Rattus norvegicus: one gene and its partners. The protein of the gene in region 1 binds, or shares a complex with, the protein of each later gene. Links are inferred from orthologs where the notes say so. Each region holds a gene or a part of one and is shown in the gene's direction. Other genes may lie near its edges.

Evidence for each region.
Region 2: Celf1 (region 1) and Calr share a complex: the UniProt entries of both Homo sapiens proteins name them as parts of the EIF2 complex. The link is inferred for Rattus norvegicus from reciprocal best matches to the Homo sapiens genes CELF1 and CALR.
Region 3: Celf1 (region 1) and Calr3 share a complex: the UniProt entries of both Homo sapiens proteins name them as parts of the EIF2 complex. The link is inferred for Rattus norvegicus from reciprocal best matches to the Homo sapiens genes CELF1 and CALR3.

Annotation. Positions count from the first base shown.
Region 1 is NC_086021.1:97,448,531-97,452,175, forward strand, and holds part of Celf1 (CUGBP Elav-like family member 1), read left to right. Parts: coding exon 1-101; intron 102-488; coding exon 489-616; 3' UTR 617-655; exon of another isoform or gene 656-3,645. UniProt on the Homo sapiens protein: RNA-binding protein implicated in the regulation of several post-transcriptional events. Involved in pre-mRNA alternative splicing, mRNA translation and stability.
Region 2 is NC_086037.1:40,212,072-40,216,196, forward strand, and holds the start of Calr (calreticulin precursor), read left to right. Parts: upstream 1-1,295; 5' UTR 1,296-1,358; coding exon 1,359-1,449; intron 1,450-1,807; coding exon 1,808-1,909; intron 1,910-2,102; coding exon 2,103-2,306; intron 2,307-3,207; coding exon 3,208-3,302; intron 3,303-3,389; coding exon 3,390-3,599; intron 3,600-3,678; coding exon 3,679-3,792; intron 3,793-3,959; coding exon 3,960-4,103; intron 4,104-4,125. UniProt on the Homo sapiens protein: Calcium-binding chaperone that promotes folding, oligomeric assembly and quality control in the endoplasmic reticulum (ER) via the calreticulin/calnexin cycle.
Region 3 is NC_086034.1:17,428,745-17,432,949, forward strand, and holds the start of Calr3 (calreticulin-3 precursor), read left to right. Parts: upstream 1-1,360; 5' UTR 1,361-1,549; coding exon 1,550-1,640; intron 1,641-1,736; coding exon 1,737-1,838; intron 1,839-4,205. UniProt on the Homo sapiens protein: During spermatogenesis, may act as a lectin-independent chaperone for specific client proteins such as ADAM3. Required for sperm fertility. CALR3 capacity for calcium-binding may be absent or much lower than that of CALR.

The DNA of each region.
Region 1 (3,645 bases):
GTTTGGAGACCAGGACTTACTGCAGATGTTTATGCCCTTTGGGAATGTCGTGTCTGCCAAGGTTTTCATAGACAAGCAGACCAACCTGAGCAAGTGTTTTGGTATGTTGACTTCTCTTCTGGTGTTGGAATGGGATGACGTACTGAGAAAGAGAGAAAGTAGCTGCTGACAAACTCAGGGAAATCTGGATTTGCGTTTGACCTTAGCAGATCATGACCTCTTTCTGAGCTTAGTCCTACCTGTAGCAGAGGTTGTGCTTTCTGCTCACAGTATTGGTCCAGAGGAAATAGTGTGTAGAAATAGCTTCGCTTGGGGAGAGAGAATGCTGGTGAATGTCAGGTAGTACCACTGAGAACCTAATTGTTTCCTGTGGTTGTCATTGCCAGAATTTTTGTGCATGCTGAGAACAGTTGAGATAACCTTTTGTACAGGACTGAGGCTTCTTGCTTTATTAAGTTCCTCACCTAGGTTTCTGCTTGGACACACAGGTTTTGTAAGTTATGACAATCCTGTCTCAGCTCAAGCTGCCATCCAGTCCATGAACGGCTTTCAAATTGGAATGAAGAGGCTTAAAGTGCAGCTCAAACGTTCGAAGAATGATAGTAAGCCCTACTGATCGTGCTCCCCTCTGAGACTGGAGTGAGAAGATCTTCTGGTAAGTGGGGGAGGAGCACCCTTAATCATTCGAAGCCCTAAGGCTGTGTGTTGACAGCCCTGGACCCTGATCCCTGCCACTCTCGCAGGCACAGCTTGCCCTGAAGACTCAGCTACTGCCTTCTGTGGGAGTGTCGCTTCGTACAGAGGACAAGTTTGTGCTTTGGTTTCCAGTGTTTTACTTTGGAGTTTAGGTGCCATATCCTGAGGGTTTTTGTTTTGTTTTGTTTTGTTTCTTTTTCCCTTTATTTAAAGTTTGCTGTGTTTGTAACTAGTATGTTGAGAAGGACCAACACCAGTCCACCTTGAGGAAGAGAGAAATGGGTTTAAAAGATAATTAGAACATGCCCTAAACCATGGAAAGAGAGGGCTGAGCAGAACAGAAAGTTGATCTCCAAGGTCTCTCTCCCTGGCTGCCAGGGTGGGTAGACTGAGAACTAAAGTCTGATGCGGTATGGGGCAGAATGGGTGAGATGGCTTGGCATCTAGACCCCTTCATGACTGGCTGCTTTCTGTGGAAATGCTGAACTTACGCCACCTATTTTTCTAATTTTTGTCCTGGATTTCTGCTCTTCTCTAAAAGAGGGTAAGCAAGTCTCAGGAAATAACGCACTTTTCATTTAGCCTGAAATATGCAAATAACAGGGAGATACCCATGACTAGCCAGCCTGGCCCACCATTCGTGTTTTATTGCCCTGCCTGGTTGGTGGCTGTTTGGGGAAAGCAACCAGAGAGGTCATTTTAGTTTATTTCAACATGAAGTTAGACAATGCCCATTTCCAGCAGTTCCCTTTGAAGAAAGTCTATGGAAGTTCACCACACCAAGGAATGTTGCCTCCTTCTCCGGCCACAGTTTTCTCATGAAGGCAGACCTAAGAAGCTCTTGCAGCCTTTCTAGCCAACAAGGGTGCAGTTCATGGGCAGAGCCATCAAGAAGCCATTTGATTGATGGAGGAGAGACCTGCTTCTTGGTGTGCCTGAATCAAGGTCTCTGCAAGCCACTGTGCTGTATTTGAGCAGAGCCTAGTATTCAAGAAGGTTCAGAAGTGCATTTCTGCCTCCTTAATGAAGTGTCCCAAAAGTTGTATATCTCATAAAGGTCTGACAGGCCTCTCCTCCAGCCACTCTAGCCCCATTCTCTGTCCTTGAAGGCAGAAGAGAGTACAGGAAGTTTACAGGCTCCATATGGATTTAGTGTTCATTTACCTCAGTATTAACCCATGTTCATTTTGTCATGATGCTTACAGTGAGCTCCTGCTGCCTTTCATGGGTCTTAACTCCAGCCTTTGCCAGTGTCCCACACAGCCTCTGAGCAGAGGTGGTGGCCCTATAAGTATATGATTAATAGCCACAGCCAGGGCCTGGTTCCTGAGTCATTGGAAGCTTAAACCTCACAACGTCTTGGCTCTCAGCAGCAGAGATTAGAAGGGGCTAGCCTGCTTTAAGTCAGATGGGGACACTCACTCTCCTTGTCATGCTGTCCCTGTGAATAACAAACAGGGACTGACCATCTTGCTGTTGTGCAGGAAGTTGTTAGTGATGTTGTCCCATTGATGCTGGGACAGCTGCTCTCTTAATAGTGATGAGTTGAGTCTGTTGTCCTCTTAAACACGAAACATACACTTCTTCAGCTGAACCACGTAAACTTGAATTCTGTGCACTGGGAGAAAAGTGTCCTGTGTTTCAAGATAAAACTGTTCTAAAGGCTTCCAGGGTAATGATGGATTTTTTAAAATAATGCAAAAAATAAAAAATAAAAAAAAACTTAAAAAGGAAAAAAAGAAAAAAGAAAAAAATGCTAGGTTGGGCAGGCACTGCTTTGAATCCCAACCAGCCGGAACCAAGAATGTTGTTTCTATTTTTATAGAAGTTTTATACAGCTCCGGGGTGGAGAATATTTATTACCTAAATTATATCTCTGGAAAAGGCCAGGATTTTGTAGAATCCAGAATGTGATTGTTGTACACACAGGGTGCTGTGTATGATTGAAACTACTGACTTTCTGTGACCGTTTGCAGCCCAGGTAACCTGTCCAAGGGGAAGGCTAACATTAATGCTGTGAATTGGCAGAGGCAAGAGCTGTGCTCTATAGGGTGCTGCCAGTGCTGTGTTCCCTCACCTTCTGTTCTGTCTTCCTCCTTGGCCAGAACACCACATTCTTTCCCCTTCTTCCGACTTCCCTCTATCTTTCCCATTTTTGTCCACAGATTTTGTCCTGTGCTCCAGGACCATATGAAACCTTCCTAATGATATTAGAGGCAAAGGCGTGACTCCACCTTTGGGAGTACAGGCCCCAGACTTCATACCTACTTGTGATTTCTAAAAGGAGCACTTGCTCTAGCAGAGCCATGGTCTGCTCAGTCAGCCAGCCAGCCAGCTGGGGAGACCATGTACTTCCATTGTCCCGTTTGCCTAGCACAGCAGTAGCACTGTCCTCGAGCACAGTTCTCTCCCCAGGCCAAAGATGGTTTTGTTGAAGAAGCTGCTCCCCTGTAAGTCTTGATGTGAAAGGGCTCAGCTTAGAGTGGAGACTGGAGTGAATGAAGTCTTAAGCAGTCCATTTCTGTTGCGTGGAGGTTTCACTTACAGTGTGTTTTCTGCTGTAGTTTTGTTTCGTAGATTATATCATGCCATTGATTTGCCTTCAGTGCAGCCCAACCACTATCTCCTGGGTTCCACACGAGTGGTCAGGGCTTATGTGGAAGCTTAGGGCTTGGATTTCTGGGAACGAAGGGCCATCCCAAGATCGAGCAAGAAACTCTGGCCCTCTACCTTAAATAGTCTCCCTCCCACTCTAGTTAGCATCTATTGTTGCTGAGACCTGCTTGCCCTAAGACTGTCTGGATATGTTGGGTGCTTTGCAGGAAATCCAAGCCTTAGGTTCCCTTCTGTCTCTGGCAGTCGGATGTTCTCTTGGTGTCCTTCATGTCCTTTTGAACTTTTCCCTGTGTCCATTGTTAGCATGTGCAAAAAAGTTCTTGTCATTCCCCA
Region 2 (4,125 bases), on another chromosome or scaffold:
CACTGCCTGGGGAACAGAGTGGACCCCCAACTTCTTGACCTTAAGTGTCATTACTGCTTGAGTTCCTCTCACTGAGAAGGAAGCACTCCATTTTTGTAAGGATTCCTTCTGTGCAGTTCCTTGTCTGTTCCAGTGTTCCCAATTCCTCAGTTTGGAAACACCTCCCATCCCCCAACCCCTACAGGTACTGTCCTTCCTCCTCCTAGCAGCAAGCAGGGTGCTGGCCACAGTCACATGATTTGAGTCAGAGGCCTCCAGATCCAAGGGTCCTGCTTATCTCCTTAGAACTCTATCACCACAGCCATCTGTGTCCTTTTTCCTTCTCAAACGGCACCCCTTGCTGTCTGCTCATAGCCGTTTAATTGCAAAAGCCAAGTCGTTTGTGGGAGACCACAAGAAGTGACTCTTTCCATTTTCCAGCGTAAGAGTAAAAAATGATAGAGGTAGGGTTACTACCTCTCACCCAAGGACACACACTTACATTCACACCGATGAGACCACTATGTTTCCTGCTCTCAAACCGTGGATAGCCCTGAAAGGTTTAAGAGCATTTCTGTCAGATAGCTCAGGGTCACCCCTGTTGGCTTCTGAGATTTCAGGGAGGCGAAGTGACTTGTATCATGTCACACAGTAGTCTGACAGGCTGTCAGGGAACTACGGGACAAGAGGAGAAAGCTGGTACATTCTCTACTGGCCTGAACAACTGGGAACCAGAATGCAGCGAAACCCCAGGATCCTGGCCCTTGACCTTATCCTGAATAGGAAAAGCTTGCCATCGGTGGGCGTTCCCTAAGTGCAGTATAGATGGAACATCAAAGTTGCAAAGAATCCTTGCTTCTTCCCTCTGACCAGAAAGGATGGAAAAAGGCCGAGACGAGACGGAGGCCCAGTCTCGGTCCCGCACGGTTAACACCCGGTACTGCTCGCGCGGATTCTTTAAACGACTTCATGGCGAGCAAGGGACTCTCACCAGCAAGGGCGGGGTTGGGCTGAGGCTCAGTCACGTGACCGCGCCTGAGTGGGCTCGCGGCCCCCACCCCAACAGGGGGCGTCCCCTACAACGCGTGGTCGACCCTGATTGGCCCAGGGTGCGGCCAATAGAAATCAGCCATCTGGGATCCCAGCGTTCCGAGCCACAGCCTAACTTGCTGAGGCGACTAGGACGCAATGAGAAGGGACAGCTGTAGGTCTAAACCAGTCAGAAGGACCGAGGGGCGGGCTCAGCGGTCGTGTCAGGTTGGGATGAGAGGTAGGTGGATATAAATTGGAGCAGCGGCGGCCGCGTCCGTCAATACCGCAGAGCCGCTGCTTGAAGATCGTTTTAAAGGGCCAGTGTGCCGCCGCCCCCTCGGCCCGCCATGCTCCTTTCGGTGCCGCTCCTGCTTGGCCTCCTCGGCCTGGCTGCCGCAGACCCTGCCATCTATTTCAAAGAGCAGTTCTTGGACGGAGGTAAGGTCTGGGCCCGCCTCGAGGCCGCCTCAGCGACTGCTGGGCCCCGAGCCCTCGGCTGCCTCGTCGTGTGTAAAGTAATTACCGTTCAGAGGGCCAACACTGTGGCCCCGGGGGGACTAGAGCCGCGGGCGGTTCCATTTGTGCGTCCTTGGGGGACCAGGAAGGCGCAGCGGTTTCCCGCGCCCGGAGTTAAGGTTCGTTCAAGGACCTGAAGCCGATCGAGGTGTCAAGTTCGAGGTTGGGATGGGAATCCCCTTCCCCACCCCCACTTGCTTGTAGCTCCTGACAGACGTTGGTTATGGGGGCGGGGGTCGGACGGTCCCGCTGATCTGACTCCTAAGCCTTTCTCTTTCAGATGCCTGGACCAACCGCTGGGTCGAATCCAAACATAAGTCTGATTTTGGCAAATTCGTCCTCAGTTCTGGCAAATTCTACGGGGACCAGGAGAAGGATAAAGGTACGAGGGAGTGGGTGCTTGGATTCAAGACAACTTCCTGGAGGAAGCTCTTGTCAGTGCACACAGCTTGTTGGAGCTTTTCCCAGGAATGAGGGAGCCAATGACAGGTGGAGGAAGGAAGGGGCGGTCAACTGTGCCCCTCAAGGTCTAGGGTATTTGGGGTCCACCTAACGACAATCCCATTTCATCACAGGGTTGCAGACAAGCCAAGATGCCCGATTTTACGCGCTGTCCGCCAGATTCGAACCCTTCAGCAACAAGGGCCAGACACTGGTGGTACAGTTCACCGTGAAGCATGAGCAGAATATCGACTGTGGGGGCGGCTACGTGAAGCTGTTTCCGGGTGGCTTGGACCAGAAGGACATGCATGGAGACTCAGAATATAACATCATGTTTGGTGAGGGGCCCCCAGCCAATGCTGACCTCTGCCGGTTGGACAGTGGGTGCGAACTGAAACCCTTTATAACTAGAATGCTGATCTTCATATCATGGAAAGCACTTGAATGATTTTTGTCCTGAGGGGACAACTAAAGGGTTTACTTTATTAGTTGGTGGACTCTATTAGTTGTAGATTTATATTGTTCATTTTTATGGTATTTTCTACATGTTTCTTAATTTTAGAAATGATGCTAATGACAGGGTCAAAGAAATCACTGGAAAAAGTGCAAATTTTTTATGTACCTGTGTATGTACTAGTGTGAAGGTCAGAGGGCAACTTTGGAAATCTCTTCTGTCATCTGAGTTCCAGGATCAAATTTGCATTATCAGGCTTAGTGGCAAGCACCTAATTTACCCCTGAGCCCTTTGCTGGCCCAGAATGGTACTCTTTTCAGATTTGTAGTCTTTGATGCCTTTAATAGGTATATTGAAATCAGGTGCCTCTCCATGATTCCTGAACAGCTAGGACTTCGTAGAGATCCTGTCTCAGGGGAAAAAAAAGACAAGATCAGGTCTTTATTTCTAGATAGCCATGGTACATTCCAGCATTCACACTACTGAGGTAGGTGAGTACTTTAAAGGCAGCTTCAGTTAAAGGTAACAGTATCCTCTGTCAAAAACAAAATAGGAGCTGGAGTGGATGCAATGGTTTCAAAGAACTGAAGTTCAGTTCTCAGCACTCAAACAGTAGCTCTCCAACTCCAGTGCCCTCTGCAGGCTCCTGTATATGCATGGTACACACACACACACACGTACGTACATACGTACGTACATACGTACGTACGCATAAATACATAAGGTTAGGTCTTTCTTCCCCAAGGGTAGAGCCTGCCATCAGCCTGCATATGCTTCCTACATAGGTCCGGACATCTGCGGTCCTGGCACCAAGAAGGTTCATGTCATCTTTAACTACAAGGGCAAGAACGTGCTGATCAACAAGGATATCCGGTGTAAGGTGTGTCTGGGGTAGTCATTTAAGTGGCTGTCACGGGAGGTCCAGGCAGCCTGGTGGGAGGGACTGCTCACCTCCTTCCTTCTTCAGGATGATGAATTCACACATCTATACACGCTGATTGTGCGGCCAGACAACACCTACGAGGTGAAAATTGACAACAGCCAGGTGGAGTCGGGCTCCTTGGAGGATGATTGGGACTTTCTGCCGCCCAAGAAGATTAAGGATCCTGACGCTGCCAAGCCAGAAGACTGGGATGAACGAGCCAAGATTGATGACCCCACAGATTCCAAGCCTGAGGTTAGTGTTGGGACAACAGCTCCACCTCCATCCTAGGGGGAGGACCCTGGGTCCCCCTGACCTCCCTGTATATTCCTAGGACTGGGACAAGCCAGAGCACATCCCTGACCCTGATGCTAAGAAGCCTGAGGACTGGGACGAAGAGATGGATGGAGAGTGGGAACCACCAGTGATTCAAAATCCTGAATACAAGGTAGGCTTGGGTGTTGAGGTGCTGCTCACTAGTAGGGTGCTTCCTTTGGTGCTATGATTGATGTCGCACCACAGGAAAAAGACAAGATATGCCTTGGGGTTCTAAGCAGGGTGGTTGGTTGTACTGTGGGATGTGTCCACCTCTGTTCATCTGGTTCTCTTCTACAGGGCGAATGGAAGCCACGTCAAATTGACAACCCAGATTACAAGGGTACCTGGATACACCCAGAGATTGACAATCCTGAATACTCCCCCGATGCGAATATCTATGCCTATGATAGTTTTGCTGTACTGGGCTTAGACCTCTGGCAGGTGAGACATAGGAAAGACAAGG
Region 3 (4,205 bases), on another chromosome or scaffold:
ATGTGTACACTGTCACTGTCTTCAGAAGCCCTCCTTTTTTAATGATTTATTTATTATCTATAAGTACACCTTAGCTGTCTTCAGACACACCAGAAGAGGGCATCAGATCTCTTACAGATGGTTGTGAGCCACCATGTGGTTGCTGGGAATTGAACTCAGGACCTCTGTGAGAGCAGTCAGTGCTCTTTGCTAAGCTATCTCTCTAGCTCCTCCTTAAAAAAAATGCAGTCAGTGCTCTTTGCTAAGCTATCTCTCTAGCTCCTCCTTAAAAAAATTTTTTTTAGAAAAACAAAACAGAATCAAAAACAAAATTATTTTTAGCACTTGACAGAATTTCATTTATTGCCTGTGTGCCTGTGTGTTCACCCAGAAGGAAGTCAGAGGGCAAACAGCAGATTTGCCTCTCTCCCTTCACCATGTGTGTTCCTGGAACGGAGCTCGCACCTTTTCCAATGTGCCATCTCGCAGGCTCAGCACGGTTTCTTCTAAAAGTCCCTTAAGTTCCTCTCCTGCATTCAAAAACTCCCATGCTAAAGTCTGAACAAGGTTAGTCTCCATAAACAACATCAAAAGGAAAGAAAGAAAAAGATACCGGGCAATTGCCCTGGAGTTACTATGTAAGCCTGCAATTCCACTCAGTTGCAGCCCAAGAGAAACGAAAATGTACGCAAACTTTCATAGGTCATTCACAACATACAAAACGGAAACAACCCTGATGCCTATGAACTACTGAGTGAACCATGCAGAGGGTAGGATATTACTCAACTTTTAAAACGGAGAGGAAGGGCACTGGCTTAGCCACTGCTCACAGCGACCGAATTTATTACCAGAGCCCACATGGTGGTGGAAGAAGAGAATCGATTCCTCTGACCACACGTAAATAAATGTAAAACCTATTATATATGCTTCTTTAAAAGTTTTATATATCCATGAGCGTGAGGGTGAGTGGCGGCAATCTCAGCACTTGGGTAGTGCTGCAGGAAGAGCAGGAGTTGATGGCCAGCCTCTACTATACAGAGAGGCCAGCCTGGGCTAACTGAGATGCAGTCTCGAATGACTAATAAAACACAAAATGTAAAGGCGCTAAGTACTACACACTGCCGGCACTCAGTTTCCTCACTTTTGTTAGCAACCCTACAGGATCATGCTCCAACGCCCTCCAAACGAGGAAACTCAGGTGTGTGAATGCCGCCCGTCTTCCCGCAGCCCCTGGTCGATCCAGTAGATCACTGTGAGGTCACCTGAGTAGCGGCGTTGTCCTCTGCCCGCCAGGTTTCGGCCTCAATGTATAGGCCCCAGTGTGCGGTTGCCCCAGGAGACTACGCCAGAGCCGCTTGAGACTACATTTCCCGTCGCCCACCGCGCTCCACCCACCAATAAGTGCTTCAGGTCACAATCGCGGGGCGTCACGGGATCTGTAATTCCAGTGCGCCCATTCAGCAGCCTCAGGTCATAATCCCAAGGCATGCCTGGAGTTGTAGTTTCCGAGTTGCGCCCCTCAGGCGGTACGGACGCCTGAAAGCGGAGAGTGGAAGTCTCACGTGCAGCTATGGTCCGGGCTCGCGTGTCGCTCTGGGCCATCTGCGTGCTGCGCGTGGCACTGGCCACTGTATACTTCCAGGAGGAGTTTCTAGACGGAGGTGAAGGCGATTGCCGTGGTGGCTGGCGGCCTGTGTCCACCATCTGTGATCTGGATCCGTGCATTTTGCACCGTTAACCTTCCTGTCTCTCCACAGAGCGCTGGAGGAACCGCTGGGTGCAGTCCACCAATGACTCCCAGTTCGGGCACTTCCGAGTCTCATCGGGGAAGTTCTATGGGCATAAAGAGAAAGACAAAGGTTAGTGTAGAATCGGGAGCAAATAAGAGTAGAGTTAGAAACCGCACGGCATCCTGACAGCGCACCCCTCGTTCAAGCCAGGACATTGAGGCACAATGCAGGCTCTGCGATACCCTGTTTGGGTTTTACATTAGTTTAAGATTGAGCGGAGGGTATTTTGGTTTTAGTTTTTGAGCAGTCTTATGTAGCCTTAGATGGCTCTAAGTCCCAGCCTCCCAAGTGCTGGTTACTTTTTCTTTATCTATGTATACTGGGGGAAGGAGGTTAGAATGAACCCTGAGTAAGGACTGGAATGACAGTGGAGGTGCTCAGAAAGACTCAGAAAGTGCTGGAAGGACAACTGGGGTCAACAGGAATGACTGTGTTGGCATTTTTCAGTAGTCGCCCAAGATCACTCCATGAAAATTGGAACCAGGCTGTAGCACAACCTGGGATCCTAGCATTCCAGGGACTTCATGAGGCAGGAAAAATCACAAGTTCAAGACCAGCCTGGCTATAGAGTGAACTCTGGGTCACCCTAAGATACAGCCAGATCTTGTCACAAAACAAAAAGGGGAAATCAAAATGAAAAGTGGGGCCAGCAAGATTGGCCTGTAGCCAAACTTGATGATCTGCGTTTGATCCCCAGAACCTACAGGGTAAAAGGAGAGAACCTATGCCCACAAGTTGTCTTCTAACCTTGGCACATGCCCAAACCCCACAAAATAAATAAATGTAAATTGTATTTTATTTATTTTAGTTTAGTTTTATTTGTCTTGAGCCAGGGTCTCTGTGTATGCCTGACTATCCAGAAACTCACTAAAAAAAATGCTTGCCCCTTCTGTCTCTTGAGTGCTGGGATTTAAGGCATACACTAACAAAACCGGCCAATAAATGTGTTTGTCTAACATCTATAAAGTCCTGGATCCCATCTCCAGTATAGCCTAAATGGGCCATAGTGCACATTCAAGAGAAATGGCAAAAGAATTAAAAAGGCCAAAGTTGATTTTAGCTACATTGCAAGTTCAGTGTCAACCCAGGATACACAAGAACTTGTCTGGAAAAAAAGAGTTGGTTTATCTGAGACAGGTTCCCTCTATGAAGCCCAGACTGGCCTCAAACTCCAGGTCCTACTGCCTCAGTCAGCCCAGTGCTTGGTTGGTTCACAGGTGTGAGTTACTATGCTGAGAAGTTTTTCTTTTTAAGATTTATTTACTATGTATATAACATTCTGCCTGCATGTATGCCTGCAGGCCAGAAGAAAGCACTAAATCTCATTATAGATGGTTGTGAGCCACCATGTGGTAGCTGGGAATTGAACTCAGGACCTTTGAAAGAGCAGACGGTGCTTTTTACCTTTGAGCCACCTCTCCAACCCATTGGGAAAGTTTTATTGAAGTGTCTTAACACAGATGAAGCAGTCACATCTGTTCATTTACATATTATGCACAGTAGTCCCTTGGATGTTACAAAGCAAAGAATTGAGACAGAGACCCAGTGACACCCTAGGTCTAAAGTATCCACCATCTAGAGTCAAGTTGGAGTTGTCTTGCCTAGCATGTGCAGCTGAAACACCGCAGAATCCGGGTGTGACTAGAGGAGGAGGAAGGTGAAGAGTGAGGGTTCTAAGATCCAGCTCTAAGAGGCCAGCCTGGTGGCAAAGTCCTTTAATCCTAGCACTCAGAAAACAGAATCAGGAGACTCTATGTGAATTTGAGGCCATCCTGGTCTGCATAATGAATTCTAGGACAACCAGGGGTACAAAGTGAGACCTCCTGGGGGCGGAGGGGGGGCGGATAGTAAGATAGTAATATATAAAATAATTCAGAAACAAAACTGAAGTGGGTGAAAAGAGCCCTGATATGGCACGAATGAGCCAGAGGATGTGGCTGCTGTCTGCCTACCAAATTCTATGTCTCCCTTTTGAAGAATTTGTATTTCATCCATTTCCTCCAAACCCCATTGAGCATGAAGAACAGCAGGCCTGGTACCTGGGTTCTGGAAATTGGATTTTTCCCCTGCATGGTCTCCAGGGACCATGACTTCATTGTCACGGTGGAAAGATTCAAGGAGTTCAGACGGGCTGGAGATGACAGGAGAGAATAGGGGCCCTTGGGCCTGCCTGGTGCTTGAGGTAGGCGTGGGATGGGGGATCTGAGTCCCATGAGAAAATGGAGGAGGAGGAGGAAGAAGAAAAGGAGGAGGAAGATGAAGAGAAGGAGGAGGAGGAGGCAGGATGGAAGTAGGGAGCCAGCCTTGAGCTGAGGCTTGGATGTGTGGATGAACACCCAAGTTTGGGCTACTGAAATGAATCAGTGGGTAAAGGAGCTCACCTCCAAATCTCACTCCCAGTTTGAACCCTGGTATCTACCTGTTAGAAGTAGAGAC